Drosophila melanogaster: one gene and its partner. The protein of the gene in region 2 binds, or shares a complex with, the protein of the main gene of each other region. Each region holds a gene or a part of one and is shown on either strand. Other genes may lie near its edges.

Evidence for each region. Proteins that work in one complex are often made in the same cells at the same time.
Region 1: Nup54 (region 2) and Nup160 share a complex: the UniProt entries of both Drosophila melanogaster proteins name them as parts of the nuclear pore complex.

Annotation. Positions count from the first base shown.
Region 1 is NT_033779.5:11,121,785-11,131,082, reverse strand, and holds Nup160 (nucleoporin 160kD), read right to left. Parts: upstream 7,307-9,298; 5' UTR 7,205-7,306; coding exon 7,108-7,204; intron 7,044-7,107; coding exon 6,941-7,043; intron 6,888-6,940; coding exon 6,396-6,887; intron 6,339-6,395; coding exon 6,157-6,338; intron 6,084-6,156; coding exon 5,674-6,083; intron 5,601-5,673; coding exon 4,934-5,600; intron 4,869-4,933; coding exon 4,763-4,868; intron 4,695-4,762; coding exon 4,533-4,694; intron 4,478-4,532; coding exon 4,235-4,477; intron 4,180-4,234; coding exon 4,061-4,179; intron 4,006-4,060; coding exon 3,391-4,005; intron 3,326-3,390; coding exon 2,804-3,325; intron 2,748-2,803; coding exon 2,350-2,747; intron 2,277-2,349; coding exon 2,157-2,276; 3' UTR 2,093-2,156; downstream 1-2,092. Other genes in the region: CG4751 (uncharacterized protein), read right to left, coding at 1-218; RfC38 (replication factor C 38kD subunit), read left to right, coding at 912-971, 1,082-2,092; Csl4, read left to right, coding at 7,613-7,771, 7,826-8,281. UniProt on the Drosophila melanogaster protein: Functions as a component of the nuclear pore complex (NPC). Involved in poly(A)+ RNA transport. Required for nuclear import of Mad. May play a role in double strand break DNA repair. Essential for nephrocyte development.
Region 2 is NT_033778.4:12,426,357-12,433,988, forward strand, and holds Nup54 (nucleoporin 54kD), read right to left. Parts: upstream 4,744-7,632; 5' UTR 4,581-4,743; coding exon 4,526-4,580; exon of another isoform or gene 4,504-4,525; coding exon of another isoform or gene 4,395-4,503; intron 4,334-4,394; coding exon of another isoform or gene 4,257-4,333; exon of another isoform or gene 4,239-4,256; intron 4,105-4,238; coding exon 3,598-4,104; intron 3,539-3,597; coding exon 3,172-3,538; intron 3,116-3,171; coding exon 2,554-3,115; intron 2,487-2,553; coding exon 2,145-2,486; 3' UTR 2,093-2,144; downstream 1-2,092. Other genes in the region: Dera (Deoxyribose-phosphate aldolase), read left to right, coding at 1-43, 106-513; CG13154 (uncharacterized protein), read right to left, coding at 622-1,326, 1,388-1,423; CG43204 (uncharacterized protein), read left to right, coding at 4,257-4,333, 4,395-4,503; DUBAI (deubiquitinating apoptotic inhibitor), read right to left, coding at 5,987-6,565, 6,623-7,460. UniProt on the Drosophila melanogaster protein: Component of the nuclear pore complex (NPC), a complex required for the trafficking across the nuclear envelope. Essential for the nuclear import of nuclear localization signal (NLS)-containing proteins in an importin alpha/importin beta-dependent manner.

The sequences.
Region 1 (9,298 bases), on a different chromosome or scaffold from region 2:
TCCACAGCTCCGGTCGTCGCTGGTGCACGCTCCCCCTCCTCCGCTTGCACCCCTTCGCCAACACAATCGTTTGTTATTTGCAGTGGCGGCGGCGGCGGCGGCTGCAGCACCTCCCCCTCCACTTCACCGTCACCATCACAGTCTCCCTCGCCATCGGAACTGCTCAGCACCTGGTTCTCGCCTGACTCGTCCACACCATGTTCCACTCCGTTCTCCATGCGTTCTTGTCGCGAATTCTGTGCAATTCTACGGATATTTTACTTCCAAGATACTTAAGTTTTGCGAAAAAAAACTGATGGATGCAGTAAGGTAGCTGCTTTTTCTACCCAGAATACCGAAACTCATTAAAACCGCCAACCCACGGTCACACTTGCTAGCGGTCCAATTTTAACCGGTAAAAACGGAGGAATGGCGTTGCCATACATAACATGAGAAGCATTGAATCGGTTATTTATTACAGAAACACAAGAAATGTTTTTGTTTTCAAATGTTTATTTATCATAAAAGAGTTCAAGTCTTTTAGGCATTTTCGTAATCATTTATTTTGAAATCCATTAATTTTACTTGTTTTATCGTTGGTTTTAGTCGTGGCACGAAAACAGTGTAAATGTAATAATATTACTTTAAAATTAATTTTAATTGTGATCTGTTAAAGTATTTAATTTTTTAAATCATTCAAGCCGAAATAATCATTTGAAAATATGTGCGTGGCAAATTTAATGAAACCTCTAAACATCGATATCACAGCGTAGAAATCGACAATAATCATCAAAAACATCGAAGCTTGCAGCATTACTAGAAATAGTCAGCGGAAAAGGCGCGCATTAAATTGTTTTGTTAAATTACTTTTACGGTCAGAAAGTAACTTAAAATACATCCAATTACTATCGTATTTTACATGCGTTAACGAAATGGCACTTTGGGTGGATAAATACCGTCCGCGGGAGCTGTCCAAATTGGACTTCCACAAGGTAAATCAGCGAGGAAACCGGCGCATACATCTATATAGCTGGCCCATATATTAAAGTATCTCTTTTTAAAAAGGTTTTTTATTTTATGATTTTTGCTAATTTCGATGCAGGATCAAGCGGAGAACCTACGCAACCTTTGCAAGCAGAGCGATTTTCCTCATCTGATGTTCTACGGACCCTCGGGTGCTGGCAAGAAGACACGCATCATGTGCCTGCTACGGGAGATGTACGGATCCGGCGTTGAGCGGTTGAGGAGCGAGACCATGACATTCACCACGCCATCCAATCGGAAGGTAGAGGTGATGACGGTCAGCAGCAACTACCACTTGGAGGTGAATCCCTCCGACGCTGGCATGTACGACCGCACGGTGGTGATCGATCTCATCAAGCAGGTGGCCCAGACGCATCAAATTGAGATTAGTGGCCAACGGGAATTCAAGGTGATTGTAATTTCGGAGGGCGACGAACTCACCAAGGATGCCCAGCACGCCCTGCGCCGTACGATGGAGAAATATGTGGCCACGTGCCGGATAATCATATCGGTGAACTCCACATCTCGGATCATTCCGGCCATACGGTCGCGTTGCCTGGGCATACGGGTGGCGGCTCCCAACGAAACGGAGATCGTGTCCATCTTGCAGAACACTTGCAAGCGGGAGGGACTCGCACTGCCCGTGGAGCTGGCCAAACGGGTTGTGGACAAGTCGGAGCGCAATCTCAGGCGAGCACTTTTGATGCTGGAGGCCGCCAAGGTGGCCAAGGCGCCGTTTACCGCCAATCAGGAGATTCCCGACCTGGACTGGCAGGTGTTCCTGCGTGAGACAGCATCTCAGATTATCAGTGAGCAAACGCCTGCCAAACTGGAGAAGATCCGCGAACGCCTGTACGAGCTACTCACGCAAGGCGTTCCACCTAATCTCATATTCCGCGGCCTGGTCGAACAGCTGGTTAACAATTGTGATATGTCCATCAAGGCAAAGACGCTCGAGTTCGCCACCGAGTACGAGCACCGGATGCAGTCCGGCGCCAAGCACATTTTTCATCTTGAAGCGTTCGTCGCTCAGTTTATGAACATCTATAAAAAGTTCCTTTCTGAGCTGGACATGACGGATGATTTTTAAACGATTTACACGCTTTAGCATTTAATTCAAAAAACTTATTAAATAAACTGATTTAAACGAACTATTAACGTTCTTCCTGAAGATCCGTTCGCATCTGCAGAACGGCCATGCTCATCTTATCATCGGTGGTGCGCTTTATGGTCTCAATATATCTTTGAACTTCTTCTTCGAGTTTAAAGTAAGCCTAAAATAGGAATAGATTTGGAATATGATTGGAATGTATTTTGAGTAGAACGAAATTTATATGTATGACTTACCATTTCATAATCAAGATCATCCTTGCCATTAATCTTTAAACCGTGCAGCAGCAAATCGATCGTGCTGATGGGGAAGCAGAGCTGTGGGTTTGCTATGTTCACCGCGTGTTTGAATTCGAAATACTCGCTACCTGCTCCCAGCATGCCGGCGATTATTTCACATCCCAGATCTGCGGCTTCCAGCAGACGATTGTGTTTCACAAGTAAGTGGAGCAGTTCCCGGGAGTGGGATAACTTGTAGGAGTTTATCAGCCACTGGGGCAAGAAGGCGTTTAACCCGAGAAGCCTTTGAACCACGCTCTTTCTTATCAAGGTGGAGTCTTTTGCCTCGTTATCCACAACCAGTTTTTGAAGTAAAGTCCAGGCCATATCGGCAGCATTACTTCGATGAGGTAGATCTGTTATAAGACATATAGTAAGCCTCTTTTTTTCATACACGTTAAAAAATCCCTACCTGCCATGTCGTTGTTTTGCAGCCAGTTCCAGGCGTCCGACGACTTGTCCTCAGTGGCAGCAACACAAGCGGATGTCAGACTCTCGAATATGGGGAGCACAGAGAACGAGTGTCCCCGCGAAAGTTTCAATGCCGCGGTGTACAGGCCGGAACTAGCCAGCAGGTATGATAGCTCCTCGGGTGTGGCCCGCTCGTAGGCAGCTGTATCTTTGCGGTAGAAGGAAAGCTCACGTAAAGCTTCTGCGTGCACCAGTTCCCTTCGGATATCAGCCAGCTCTAGAACAACCACCTCCTGGCCTCTCTTGTCCTCGTCACATTTGGGCTCACCATCGTCGTTATCCTGATCTATGGTAATCACCTGCTCATCACCAAGAACAGGCTTGGCAATCCATCTGTAGCGGCTGTCAACTAGGTGCAAACAGTTTAGGCAAATTAACAGCGAGGAGCAACGTTTCTCTAGCGCGTTTGGTGCATCGCTGTCTACTTGAAACCGCATGGCCTGCTCATACATAACCGTAGAAGCTGTTCGGAAACAAATTATTAATGCAAGAAGAAATGGAAGAAAATAAAGTAATTTTTATGCAAACCTTTTCTCATGTTACCCTTGTTCGTATGGAATGCATACAAAAAGTTGTAGACTTCGTTCTGATCGATGCTCATTGATCGTGCCCGGGATTCAACAATGCTCTCGAACTCGTCTTGCAACCCGATGTAGGAGAACTGCATAAGCAGTGGCAGACATTTATTCTGGAACAGCGTTATGACCAACTGGCGAAGGCAATCCTTACGCCTTGAAATATCTGCATTGTTGACTAAGGCGGTGTACGCCTCCACGTAGTGTCCCAACTGCAGATGATTATTGAACACTATTGACTGGAACATGGGCAACTGAGGATCATCTGGCTGCAGCACCCTAATGGCCATGTCAGCCAGTTGAATAATGTAGTCCAATGCGGAATGCTGTTCAAAGAGCTGGATAACCTTAAGATAGTAGTGAACAATTGCCAGTTTTGTGTCTTCGGGGGAAATTGTATCGCCACGGCTGACGCTATTCTGTAATTTGCCGTATAGAGGGGTATTTTTCAGTACATGCTCAAAGAGGAAGTCATCCTCCACAATGCCAGACTCCGCCTCGTGAAAGAGATGCACGGCCTTGTGGGCCTCACCGCAATCCAATAGAGATACGGCTAGCATAAAGCGTCCTGCGGAAAAAAAGGATTAATTTCAAAGCTGGGAAAACTAGCAAATAATGCATACTGGCATGTTTTTGTACGGAACACCAGTTTGACAAAATGCGCACGTAATCCTGAACAATGATGTGATGACAGGTCCCAAATAACCATTCCGGAAATACGTAAATCGGAGATCCCGGCCAACTAAGAGATGTTTGAAACTTAAAACATGATCAATTTTTCTATATATTATACGCACAGCATCTTATTGATGTATCCAACAAGTTGGAGCAAAGACTGGCGTAGATTCAATTGCTCCGAGTCCAGCGACAAACTGTCATGCTTCAGCAGCATAGTCAAGGCGCTGAACAGACCTTTCGATTCCAGGAACAGTCGGAGCAGAGTGGTCTGATCGTTCCCATTATGTTTCAGATGGCTGGAGTATGGTCGATTATAGCCGCTGAAAAGTTGGGCGCGGCTCAATCGTTGAATAGATGCCTCGCTAAAATTAAAATAGAAGTTAGAACTGTGCAATACAATCAATTATATATCCTTACAATCCAGCTGGGGTACTCGATGAAATGGGTGTCTCGGCAATCCAAACCAGTGTATAATATGAGTTCAAATAATTTAAATTTGTTAAAACATTTTCGCTTTCCATTTCGTTCTGACCATAAGCCATGTACTGCAATACCAAAAGGTTTCGGCAAACAGAAAACCTAGGGACACATGATTTAATAAATGATAAACCAAGTTCAAAGTTTTTTAAACTATTACGAAAGCTCACCGTATCATTGCCATTTGCTTCACTGTTTCGGACAAAATAGAAAGTCCATATTCGCTACCCATTAGAGCCCCAGACGACTGCAAGAAGCGCGTAGAAAGGGAGTAATCTATAAAGTAGAAATGAAATATATGAATCATTTTCAAACATTATATATATTTATAAGTAATTTACCATGCGGCGGTTCATCTGGATCAATCATACACAGCACATCGAGCAGCATTTCCAAAGCGGGTTCAAGATTTGGTATATTCTGCAGCTTCTGTTGGATTTGCCTCACACAGTTTGATGGCAATATTGGACCATTATCATCGATCATACTGATTCTAGCCACCAGCTTAGATATTACTTCAACCGGTGACTCCCGCTGGTAAAGCTGTTTATCTAGCTCGATTTTAATGTCCTCCGAAATTAGTTTATCAAGCAGTGTCACCACATTCATGAGCTCCACAAAACCCTTGGCCATTTCGGGATCGTTGCGAAATAGTGGCGCCACATATGTCGCCACTTCATCGTTATGCTCGCCGATGAGCAACAGGTGCTCGAGCACTTCGCAGGGGCGCAGCAATGCGAATGATTGCCTTCTAACCAAACATACTGCATCCATTCCACCAAGAACGGCGAGTCCTGTCGGCTCGGAAAGCTTAATGTGATACTGTTCGCAGCAGGAGTAAAAGCGATCCCACAGCCGAGTGGATATCTCCAAGTACTCCTCATCGGTGACCACAAAGTCTTTCAGTTCGTTTTGGATTTCATCTTCCACGGCCTGGCATACCTGCTCCTTGAGCACTGACATGGAAAGTTGCTTTACATCGAATTGCAGGTTAACGCGTCTGAACATCTACGATACAAAAAATTCAAATTACTAAACTATTCCAATAATTCATAATAAAGAATGTTTTGGTTATACTCACATATAAAGCCTTGGCAATTACATTTCGGTCAAATCGACCAGGATGAAATATATAGCTGCAGTAAGTTTCGCGTGGATCCACTCCCTGCTCCATGGTGAGACAATACCGATCCGGTGGCGGTTCTAGAGCAGCCGAAACCCATTTGATTGCGTTGTTGGAGGCAAAATATGCTGCCGAGACATGGAAATCGCCTTCAGCGTTGCTCCAAAGGGCCCAGATGTGCGAGGATGTGGCATCGAAGTCGACCAAATCCGTTTGCGGCGCCGGCACCATGTTCTGCACCAAATTGATAACGCTGGCATCGTCGGCATCGGGCATTATGCTAACGCATATAAACTCAGCTCGGGAATTGTGCGAGAGAAATAGACAGAAGTTTTGATCGCTTATTTTTCGGAGCTGGCTGTTTTGTGCTGTTAAAAAAAAGAATATAATCCCATTATATCTAGATCATAAATCTAAATCGTAATAATATTTTATACTCACGTCCTTGAGCTGCTGAGTCCTGTCCCAGTTCGGTGGAGCAGTTAATGCTGGCTACAGTCTGCAAGTTATCCACTGACCATAGACGCAGCTCATTATTGCGATACAGAACCAGAATGAAAATTTCCCCCCCGATTTCACTGAAAGCCATGGACGTGGCTGCCTCCAACGTTTCAGAGCGGCCGCTACAATGATTAATGAAACATTAGGGATTTGCCATTTATCGAGGTTTATCCACTTACGTGAGGGCACCCTTGAGATTCGACAGAAACCATGGCATTAGCTTCGGCTCCTTGATTTCGTGGGTGATAGTATGGCCGGTGGAGCATTTCATAACGTGAAGCAGTAGTTTGCTCTGATACGCCACCGCAAAGTAGGCTGACTGGGAGTCTTGAGTGAGGTACGATACAGCCGCGTTGGGCATAGTTCCAAAGCCATCCGTGACATAGTAAGTGCTGGGATCATTGATCTTGTCATTGACGTCGTAGAAAATGGACTGGGATAGCAGATCCTCTGGAGAAGCTGCGCCACCTTCCTGCCCAGCGACCTTCAAGGGAAACACATAGCGATGCACACTGCTGACCGTGACCACCAGCAGGGTGACGGATGTACCTTGCTCCGTGAGTGATACATTCAGCACAGCGGAGTCGGTGAATCGCAGACGCAGGTGATTCCTCTGCAGGGAGATGTCCAAACTAACCTCTGATAGTTCCAGGACATCCTGGTATGTCCGCCTGCAAATCAGTGGCCATGTGAAACTAATTTAACGATTCTGATTTGCACTTACCAATATATGAAACGGTTTCTGGTCTGAACATTTTTCGTATTCTTGTAGCAATAGCCGCCGGAGGTTTCGAAGGTTTTTAAATCCTGCAAAGTGCTCTGGGTTCCTACATTTTGCGGAGGAGCATTTGGTTACTCAGAATTTCTCTGGCAATCTTGCACGAAACTCACCCGTGTTAATTTTCACCTCGATCCACTCCGCCGGACTGAGGTTCCGCGGTATGACCTCGCGGTAGCTCATGTTGGCTTGCAGTTTGGATGTGGGCATCTTGCTAGCACAACAAATTAATATAAAAACCTCAACGAAAACGGAAAATTATTGGCGGCACCGGCGTAAACACGCTCAGTAGTAGTGTTGGAAAACGCTTACGCCAGCGGTGCACACCAGGCAAAATAGTCGACATAGCTTTTTATACTCACATACAAAAGTTAATTACAGAAGTTAGTTAAAAATTGTACATTTTCCTAAATGTAATTTCATGACAATAAAGTTTATTATAGCAAAGCAGGAATGATATAAGATGCCTTTAAATCTTGTGATATTAAGAAAGTTGTCGCTAGCATTTTAACAATTGCCACATATTGGTCACACTGCATTGCACGTGTGTTTCCATTTGTTGATGCGGCTTTATTATTTAGTTTATTTTTTAAAATAAAAACTGTCTCTGGCCTAAAAATGAGTGAACAGCAGGATGAGACTGTAGTCTGCCTGCCCGGGGAGCGACTCTGCAGAACCGAGGACAGCATAGTCCTGGGCATAGGCACCTACGAGCAGAATGGCTACATTTACGCCTCCAAGTCTGGAATTGTCAACATCGAAGATTCGGGTGATAAAGTAAGTAATCCTGGCATTTCGTTGACTCTGGGAACCAATTAATCTCCATTTCAGTGCCAGGTGGTTAGTGTGCATAAGCCCGGATTTCATCTAACCATCCCAGCCACCGGAGACGTGGTCACAGCCAGAGTTCTCGTCACAACTCCAAAATTCGCCAAGTGCGCCATTTTCTGCGTACGAAATGTGCTGCTGGAAAGCAGCTACCGCGGACTTCTGCGCAAGGAGGATGTCCGGGAGACCGAAAAAGATCGCGTCGATATCTACAAGTCCTTCCGGCCGGGCGATGTCATCCTGGCGAGGGTCATTAACCAACTGGAGCAGTCCTTCCTCCTGACCACCGCCGAAAATGAACTCGGCGTGGTCATCGCCTATGCCAGTGATTACCGGAAGACCCGGGTGCCCATGGTGCCGGTCGGCTGGAGCGAGATGCAGTGCCCCCAGACCACGATCAAGGAGCCACGGAAAGTGGCTAAAGTTCTGCCTGAGAGTTCAATAAATGCTGTGAAATAAGGTCAATCGCATGTTAATCAGAAGCTTAAATTCATTTGTGGAACTAAAAATGTTTTAGTAAGTGATTATTAGCCAAATAATTATATGTCTTGGCAACCAGAGGACGCTGAATATGGATACAGGTTTATGTTAGCATTTTATTTCCATAGCAACGTTGATAAGTAGCTATTTGACAGTTTACATTATTTCAAATCATTAAATAAATCTATAATTAAGTTGTAAAAGTTCAAAACAAGCTGGTTTCCATAGTTTAGCTTTTATGATTGATACGTATCTTATATTTGTTATTTATTCATGATTGGTTTGTTATAATGATTCAACAAGAGATTAGAATTTAATATTGGATCGTCATGCAATTGCTGTTTTTAAAAGTATCTCTATAGATTCGAAAGTCATGGGAATAGATTAAAGAAATTGTGCGGTAATTTGTTCTAGCAACTTAACAAAACATATTTTATGTTTAAAATAATTCATAAACACAAGGTAATCTAAATATATGCAGGCACATGCACTTTATAGGTTGGCAACATAAAAACTTTTAGGGTAAACGACAGGTACTTATTCCAAGTAATCCGAATTTCAATAACATGCAATTGCACGTGTTCCCAAAAAAAAAAATATATAATCATAAAGGCAAATAGATGGTTGTAAAGGCTCAGGCGTCAGAGGCGTAAAAACCCGTAGCCCGTTGCCAATCAATGTCGCTGGGAGCTGTTGTTGATGGATGACTATTCCTATGCAAATAGCAAATGGAAGTTCGTTTCGCGTGCAGGAGCCGCGACTAATTCAATCAGAGGAGCGGGAGCAGGCAGCCTGGAGCAATGAGCTGCTCCGGGACTAGGCCACCGTGTCTTGTCTTGCCGAAGAAATGCAAATGCATAGGAAAAGTTACAGGTGGATCGGTGGGCAGGGAGCTTAGCGAGTCCTGGGGGATCCAAACAACCAATCATTGTTTGGTCGATGGGAAACGCAGTCGGTTTGTTTCGGTGGTTCGAAGCCCGGTTAATATTCAAATTA
Region 2 (7,632 bases):
AAAAACAATTCTGGCCATCGGGGAGCTGGGCACCATGGATAATGTGAGATCAATATCGCCTAATCCCTATACTAAAATACCATTCAAATCCATTAATTTCTTTAGGTTTACAAAGCAGCCATGGTTTGCATGATGGCCGGAGCGGATTTTATCAAGACCTCAACGGGAAAGGAGACAGTCAACGCCACCCTGCCCGTTGGCCTGGTCATGATATTTGCCATTCAGGAATTCAAACGACGCACGTGCCAGATTGTGGGCCTTAAGCCAGCCGGAGGAGTAAAGACTGTACGAGATGCGATCGCCTGGATGACGTTGGTCAACGAAACTCTTGGCATCCGCTGGTTGCGTCCCGAGAGGTTCCGTTTCGGAGCCTCCGGATTGCTGGACGACATTGAACGCGTTGTGCGTCAGGGTGTCAAAAAACTCGAGGAGGATGAGGCTCAGAAAAATGTGCCCGTGTCTCGCGAGGCTGCTGCTGCCGAGACCTTCTGCAAGGAGCTGCGGAAGAAGTAGGAGGAGGCCAACTGGTCGAATCCGTATTCTGGACTTTACTCACTCTAAGTGCATTTATTGTAGCTTTTTTATACAACTGACTAAAACCTATAGCAAAAAAAACCGCATCTATGTTCGACGTTCTTCCTGGACGGGAGACTTGAAGTTAAAGGCTAACTGCGCAGGAGCCGCCATCAAATCTTCCTCGGCCTGCTCTTCGCCATGCTGCAAGAGCTCTGTGGGCGCAGCTGGCTCCTTGTGGGGCTGATTATCCGGAATCTTTACCTGCATGTCCACCGCAAAGAAGGAGTCGTCGAAGTTTATTCGGTTGCGCTCGTCCTGCTCCAGATACATGGCTTTGGGCGCAGTTGCTCCGCCCATGGCCCTCTCGTAGGTGTTAAGCCACTTGAGATTGAGGTTGATGTGCTTGTTGGCAGCGTTAAACTTCTTTGGCTTCTTTTTTGGCTTTTCCGCGTAGTAGTTGTGCTCCGTCTTTTGCGGCGGAGGAGCAATCTTCTCCAGCATTCGGCTCTTGGCATCCAGCTTGGGCTCCACGAAGTCGTATAGAGGTAAATAGAAGTTATACGGCTGCTCCGTTGGCGGCAGCATTCGCTGCTGCGGCTGCACTTGCTCCTGCACCTGACTACTGGCCTCCGCCATGGCATCTTCCTCTAGAGCCGGACCAAAGATTTCCCCAGCACGCCGCAGCAAATTCTCTAAACGCTCTATGGTGATGATGTGGGGATGGATAAGCTGGACATCGTCGTGCAGCTGTGCCCGCCGAGCTGTCGGTGGTTTGGCCACCACGCTGCAGCAAAAGGCGCACAAAAACAACTGCAAGGATGTGAAAACTTAGTCCGATTTTCGCATTGAGCGGTCAAGCCAAACAACTCACAACCAATAAACCATTCATGTCCAATTTAATTCCCATAGCTCTGAACGTTTCACTTTCAGCTCCTCATATGCAGTGCTCCAATTGAACCACCTTCACTTTCTTAGATCTGAAACGATGTGAGGCCTCCTTGGAGCTGGCCAATTCATTTATACTGGCGCTACATGCTCCAAACGGAAGCTCGGAAGTCTCCGCCATCAATGGCCAACAAAAAACCTGCACGGACCCTGGCTGGCTGGTTGACTGGGAGAAAACTAGTTTCCCACACAAGAAATAAATATGTAACGAGCCAACTAACTAGACTGCACATGTATGCACACGCCAGAGCACATAATAATGTTAATGTAACAACGATGGTGATACCGATGCTGGGAGTTGAACAAACTGGAACTGCCAGAGACGAACCGTTTGCCACTCATAATGAGTCCGAGCGATTGCCTTCTGCCTAGCCGTCGAAATTGGACAATTTCAGACAGTGGCCGAGGAAAAGTCGGGCGGTCCAAGAGCTGTGCGGTGCAAGTGCATTGACCCACACAATTATTTCCGCAGCATTGGCGACGAATGTGTGAACTCGTTTCGATTGTTTCGACTCCATTGCCCGTAAAAGTGCAAGTTCAAAGCTACAGGAAATGCTAAACGACGACATAATGGCAAAAGTGTAACGGCCACAACTTGTTCGTTGTCTCGATCATCGAAAATCACCGGGTTGTGTTACACATATGTGGGTTTTATTCAACGTATCAGCTCATTTCCATTCCTATCACGATTGTCGCAGCTCGGGCAGTCCTTTAATTATAACATCCAGCGCCCTCAGGTCCTTGTTGACGGTATCGCTCAGCACCTCCATGGCGCGCTGCTGCATCGTCAGAAAGGTCTTCATCTCGTCCTCCGCTTCCTTGTCGAGGGCATACTCGGCACCACCGTTGGCTGCGAATTGATTGCGCTGCATGCGCATCTGGGAGAGGAGCTCGCTGAGTCGGCCCTTGAATTGGGTGGGTGCGGAGACGACAGCCAGCATGTTCTGTAGCTTGGTGCGCAAGGCCTCCTCCTCGGGCGTCAGGGAAGTGCCCACCTTGCGGGTGCACTCTTGTTTCACTATTATCTGTGGTTGAAAAATGCGGATTTCTGAATGTAAAAATAAAGTTGGGTATTTAACTAGGTGTCCCTACCCTTAGTATGCGATGACTGAGCTCGGCCAGTTTCCGTTTATGTTCAAGTATCTTCGCTGTGGCAGTGGCATGGCGCTTCTTGAGTTCTGTCAGCTCACTCTCCACCTTCTTTATGTACAATGCATGCGTGTCCGTTTCTTGTTCCTGACACTTAACGCGCCACTTTAAGTCGTTAAAGCCCACCATGGGCACTGGTATATATAAAGTTGGATCTGGATTGTCGGAATTGGCCTGACGCCACATGCGCGGATCCACGCCGCGGGGTGGATTTTCAAGGTACTCCCTCAATTGATCTTCGTCGGGTAATACCAGAGCCAAAGCCTCCACAACACCTAGATTATTGAGCTGTGGTTTCAGCGTCGCCTGATTAAGGTAGTTTGAGAGTTCGGTGGCAAGTATACGCTTGCTTTCGTTGGGAGCATGTTGAAGTTTCTCCTCGACATAAATAACAATTTGGCACTTTTTGTTCTCCAACTCCTTGATGGAATCTATGTGAACAAGCATGTTGGGCTTGCTGCCGAATAAACTGTGAAGCGTTTGAATCACTTGTTGCTGGTGTGGCCTAAAATAAAATGAATTAATACCTATGCCATGATGTAGACAAGCACTAAGACTTACTTGACAGCTGAGAGTTCTCTGCAGAAGTTAAGAGCCACCAGTCCCAACTTGTTATCCTTGCCCGGCATACGACTGTAGCCTATGGCCTTGAACCGGCACATCACGTTCTCCGGCGTAATGTCTACCGGTGCCGCACTCTGGGAGTAAAACATTTTCCCAGTGCCCCACGTAGCCTGCAAGTAGTTCCATTTGGCCACTATTTTGTCCCGTTCATCCCCGAAAATGGATACATTCAGAATGGATTGGGCAAACGCCTCGTCAGCCGATATGGGCGCTGGCTGCTGTTGCGGCTGTCCAAGCATAAAACTGGTGCCTCCGAATCCACCAAATCCCGGCGTAACTGTTGTATTCGCTGGTTTTCCGAACGCTGAAACATAAACCAGGTTAGGAATACCACAGAAAGACAAATGGGCTTATTTAACTTACTGGATCCGAAGGCTCCGCCCCCAAAGCCAGTGGACTGGCTGGTGCCAAAGCCACCAAAAGCAGGTGCCGACGTTGTGGTTGTGCCAAAGCCTGAAAATCCACTTGCTGGCGCTGTACTCGCAGCTGCCTGTTGGCCGAATCCGCTAAAAGCTGGTGGTGCTGCACTAGTCGCTGGAGCGCCGAACAGACCGGCCTGACTTGTTGCCGGAGCTGCTCCAAATCCGCCGAAACCGCCTCCTCCCAAACCCGTGCCCGCAGTTGTGGTTGTCGCCGCACCAAATGCCGGAGTACTGCCAAAGGCGGAGCCGCCAAAGGCAGAAGTTCCTGTGGCGGCTCCAAAAGCCGGGGCTGCAGCGGTTGCTCCAAAGGCGGAACCTGCTCCGAAGGCAGAAGTCGCCGGTTGGGCGCCAAAAGCCGGAGTCGATGTGGCCTGTGCTCCGAAAGCGGGTGCTGGCTGGCTGGTTGCAGCTGTGCCTCCAAACGGCGATCCGAAGAGGCCACCGGTTGCTGAACAAAAGAGATAAGAAGACCAGAAATGGGTCAGTGTTTTGAAAACTATGCTTCTGCCTTGGATTCTTATCTGAGATTTCGGGTTCCAAAATACTACAGAAGCTGCCCTTAGTTTGCTTCAAGCTCTGGTCGCCTGCTGGTCGTGGAAAATGGCTCTGGTTTTTATATTGCTGATCCTCCTGCTAGGTTTTGTGGGATACGTCGCCTATGTGGTCCACAAGAAGGGGTGAGCATCTTTGTCTGGCCACATAAGAACACTGACACCATGTAGCCCGTCCCACATCCAGCATAGATCCCAAAGACATCCGCATCCACAGCCTGCAGGACGCCAAGAAGCTGCTGAAGCCTCCACCAAGTGGAAATGGACCCCACAAATATTTGGAGAAAAGGGCATGAGGTCTTGTTTACGGAAACTCACTTTTGGCCGGCGTGCTTGTTGCTCCCAGCGACGTGTTGGATCCGAAGAACGACATGATGCGGTATTCTCAAGGACGTTACTTTGCCGCACAGTTTGGGTTGCCTTTCCTAGGGGCCGGAATTTGTACAATTCTATTTTATTGTAATAAAATTAGTCTTAATCCTAATAAACGTAAAATTTTGGCGCTTTCTAGCAGTGTTACCAGATTGTAAATGGGCTCTCACCCTTGCTGACAACAACACTTGAATTTCCCTTATTAATTTGGTAACACTGCCGCGCGGTCTAAATTATCGATAGTCTTAGGCCCGACTTTTGATTATTAGTACGCTATAATTTGAAATTTGGCGGCAAGAAAATCAATTCGCCACTTCAATAATCCTGTCAAGTTTTTAATTCTAGTTTACGCCTCCTCTCTAATGTTTGAACTGAATATAATATCCTCCTTTCTGATCATTGCTTTTCTTTTTGATATAGTAACTTCCATGAATGGATACTATTTTTGTTGTTTTCACATTAAACTCTTTCGTGACTCTAATAATTAAACACTCTTTGGGCTTGTTCTTTTCTTTATTGATACACTTATAGCATAGCATAGTATAGATTTTGGTTATCAATAGACATACACCATATACAAATTTCCTTGAAATTATTCCAATTTAATTGCAATAACGTTCAAAATTCATCGCAACCTCTGCTCACCAGATCCAAAGAGATACATTTATATATATCAATTACAAATTCGTGTCGCACATGCGCAAATTTTTTGAAATTTGCTAAAATTAACAGTGAAACTAATAATACGATCCGAGGGTTATAGCCCGATCTATAAACGATCTCGATCTATACAAGTCAATGCCGCGATTATCTTGTTTTGTAGCTTCTTGCTAGTTCGATTGCAACTCGAGATATGATTTAATTTCGAGCTGTGCGTTAAAAACTAGGGTGCAGACATTATTTCTGGTTTAGTGTTTTGGAAGTTAGTGGTCTTCGGATTCAAGTATATCGCTCCTATTTCTGGCTAATTCTATTGTTTTTTTTTTTTTTTAATTTTTATAATTAAATATGTTTGTGTTCGCATATATGCACGTTCTACAACTAGGTTTGTGTTAACAAAAACAAAAAAATTATAACAATTTTGTAAATGGAAATACAATAATAGTTTGCGTTCGTATGAGTGGATGAGTATAATGATTTTTGGGGCAACGGGCCGAAGGATCAAGGAGAAAAGGAAGAAACAATTTAGAAAACATCGACAACAACTCAAGGAGGTAGCGAACAAGCGATCGGTAAGCGCGTTTCTCATACACTTCGATATACGTAGGCGCATATATCTCGATTGGTTGTGAACGTGCTATATATATATGTATGTAACATTTCGATTAGTATGCGCGTGTTTCATAAAGTAGACAAGTATATGTTCTAGTGGCCTCCGGTGTGCTCGCTATCCTGGCTGTCGCTTTCTCAGAAGACGAAGCGGTTGATGTTCATGCCCAGTCCATTGCCTCCACATCCTCCGGGCGGCGGCGGCGCCTTGTCGTCCTCGTCACCATCGCCATCAAAGTTGTGCCGGCTGACAAACGCATTGCCGTGACCGCTGTTGCCACGCTTAAAGCGTTGCATCTTCAACTCTTCGTTGTAAACATGGTTGTCCTTTCTTACGTAGTCGCGAAGTCGGCGTGGCAACTCCTCCAGCTTCAGAGGCGGCGACAGTGGCACCGAGACCACCTGGTCATTTGAGCCCGATACCATACTCGAACTGCAGCTGGCCGTAACCGAATTAGACTCATTGGAGTGGCCGCACATCTTGTAGAACAGGATGTAGGGCGTGTTGGGCGAAGTGAGATTGTGCATCTCCTCCGGCTTGGAGTGGGTAACCACGTTATCGTTGAACTTGTACCAATTCTTGGCTTGATCCGCCGCGAACGTAAAGTAGTGACCGGAATCCATGCTGTACCCGGCGTGAACAACACCCGCATACAGATCATAGTGCACAGTGGACATCTCCTGCAGCGAGTCCTTTGCCGACATTTTTACTGTGACCTAGCGTGCGAAATGGTTAGCTAAACTTGTAGCGGAGAAATTCGCTGCGATACTTACGCTCTCATCGTGGAACACCTTATGCATGAGCTTGGTGCGGAAGTGGTACTTCTGATCGTACTTGAACTGCTTGAGCGTGAGAATAAGGTTCTTCGGTGCCTGGGTGACCCCGATGTGGCGCTCCGCATCGCAAAGCTTCTTGCATTGTGGACAGAAATATTGATTGTCACCGTCCAGCTTCTCGGGCGAGCAGTAGTACTCGATCAGATCCTGCACCGAGTAGTTGGTGGCTCCACAGTCTTCCTTATCATCGGGAAAAGACAGCTGCAGCTCGCGAAAGCTGTCCTCGTTCCGGCTCTCCCAGCCGCAGTTTAAACATCGATAGGTGGTGGAAAGCTTGCCAGCGAACGTCTTGTCAATGGTAGATGGTGGCTTCGCCTGATCAACCTGCTGGCCCTGCTGCTTTAAGCCGTTGGTGGCTTTGGTGGGAGTCGCGGGTGGTGTCGGTGTGGGCTTGTGATTACAATTGTCACTGTTGCTTCCACTGCTGAGCTCGTGATCCTTGCTGTTGTACGGAATAACGCCGCTCGACAATATATCCTCGCTCAGCAGTGCGGGCACGTCGTCCACTTCCCTGCCGGTCTTCGGAGGACCAACACTGTGACCAGTGACTGAGGAGCTGTTGATCTCGTGCTCGTGCAGCAGGTCGAGCAGATATCCTAGGAACTCGGAGCTGTCCTGTTGTAGGCCGGGCGTGAAGCTAGGCGGCCGGGTGGCGTTCAGCACTCGCGAAGGCGTTAGTTCGTAGCGCAGCGAGTGATGCATCAGGGCAATCTGCTGCTGCACTTTCATGAGCAGCACTGAATTGCACTCGATAAGCAGGATTTGCCTGCTAAAACTGCAAATGGAAAATGAGTATATGTAGTTGTAAGAAGATAAATAAAGCCAATAAGCTTCGTAATCGTAATTATTTTCGTAATCGGAAATTGACACCTAAAACAGATTTATAAACAGTGAGCTCTTAAACAAAAGGTGCTGGCAAGGCAATGCAAATATAGAACCGAGTTTTA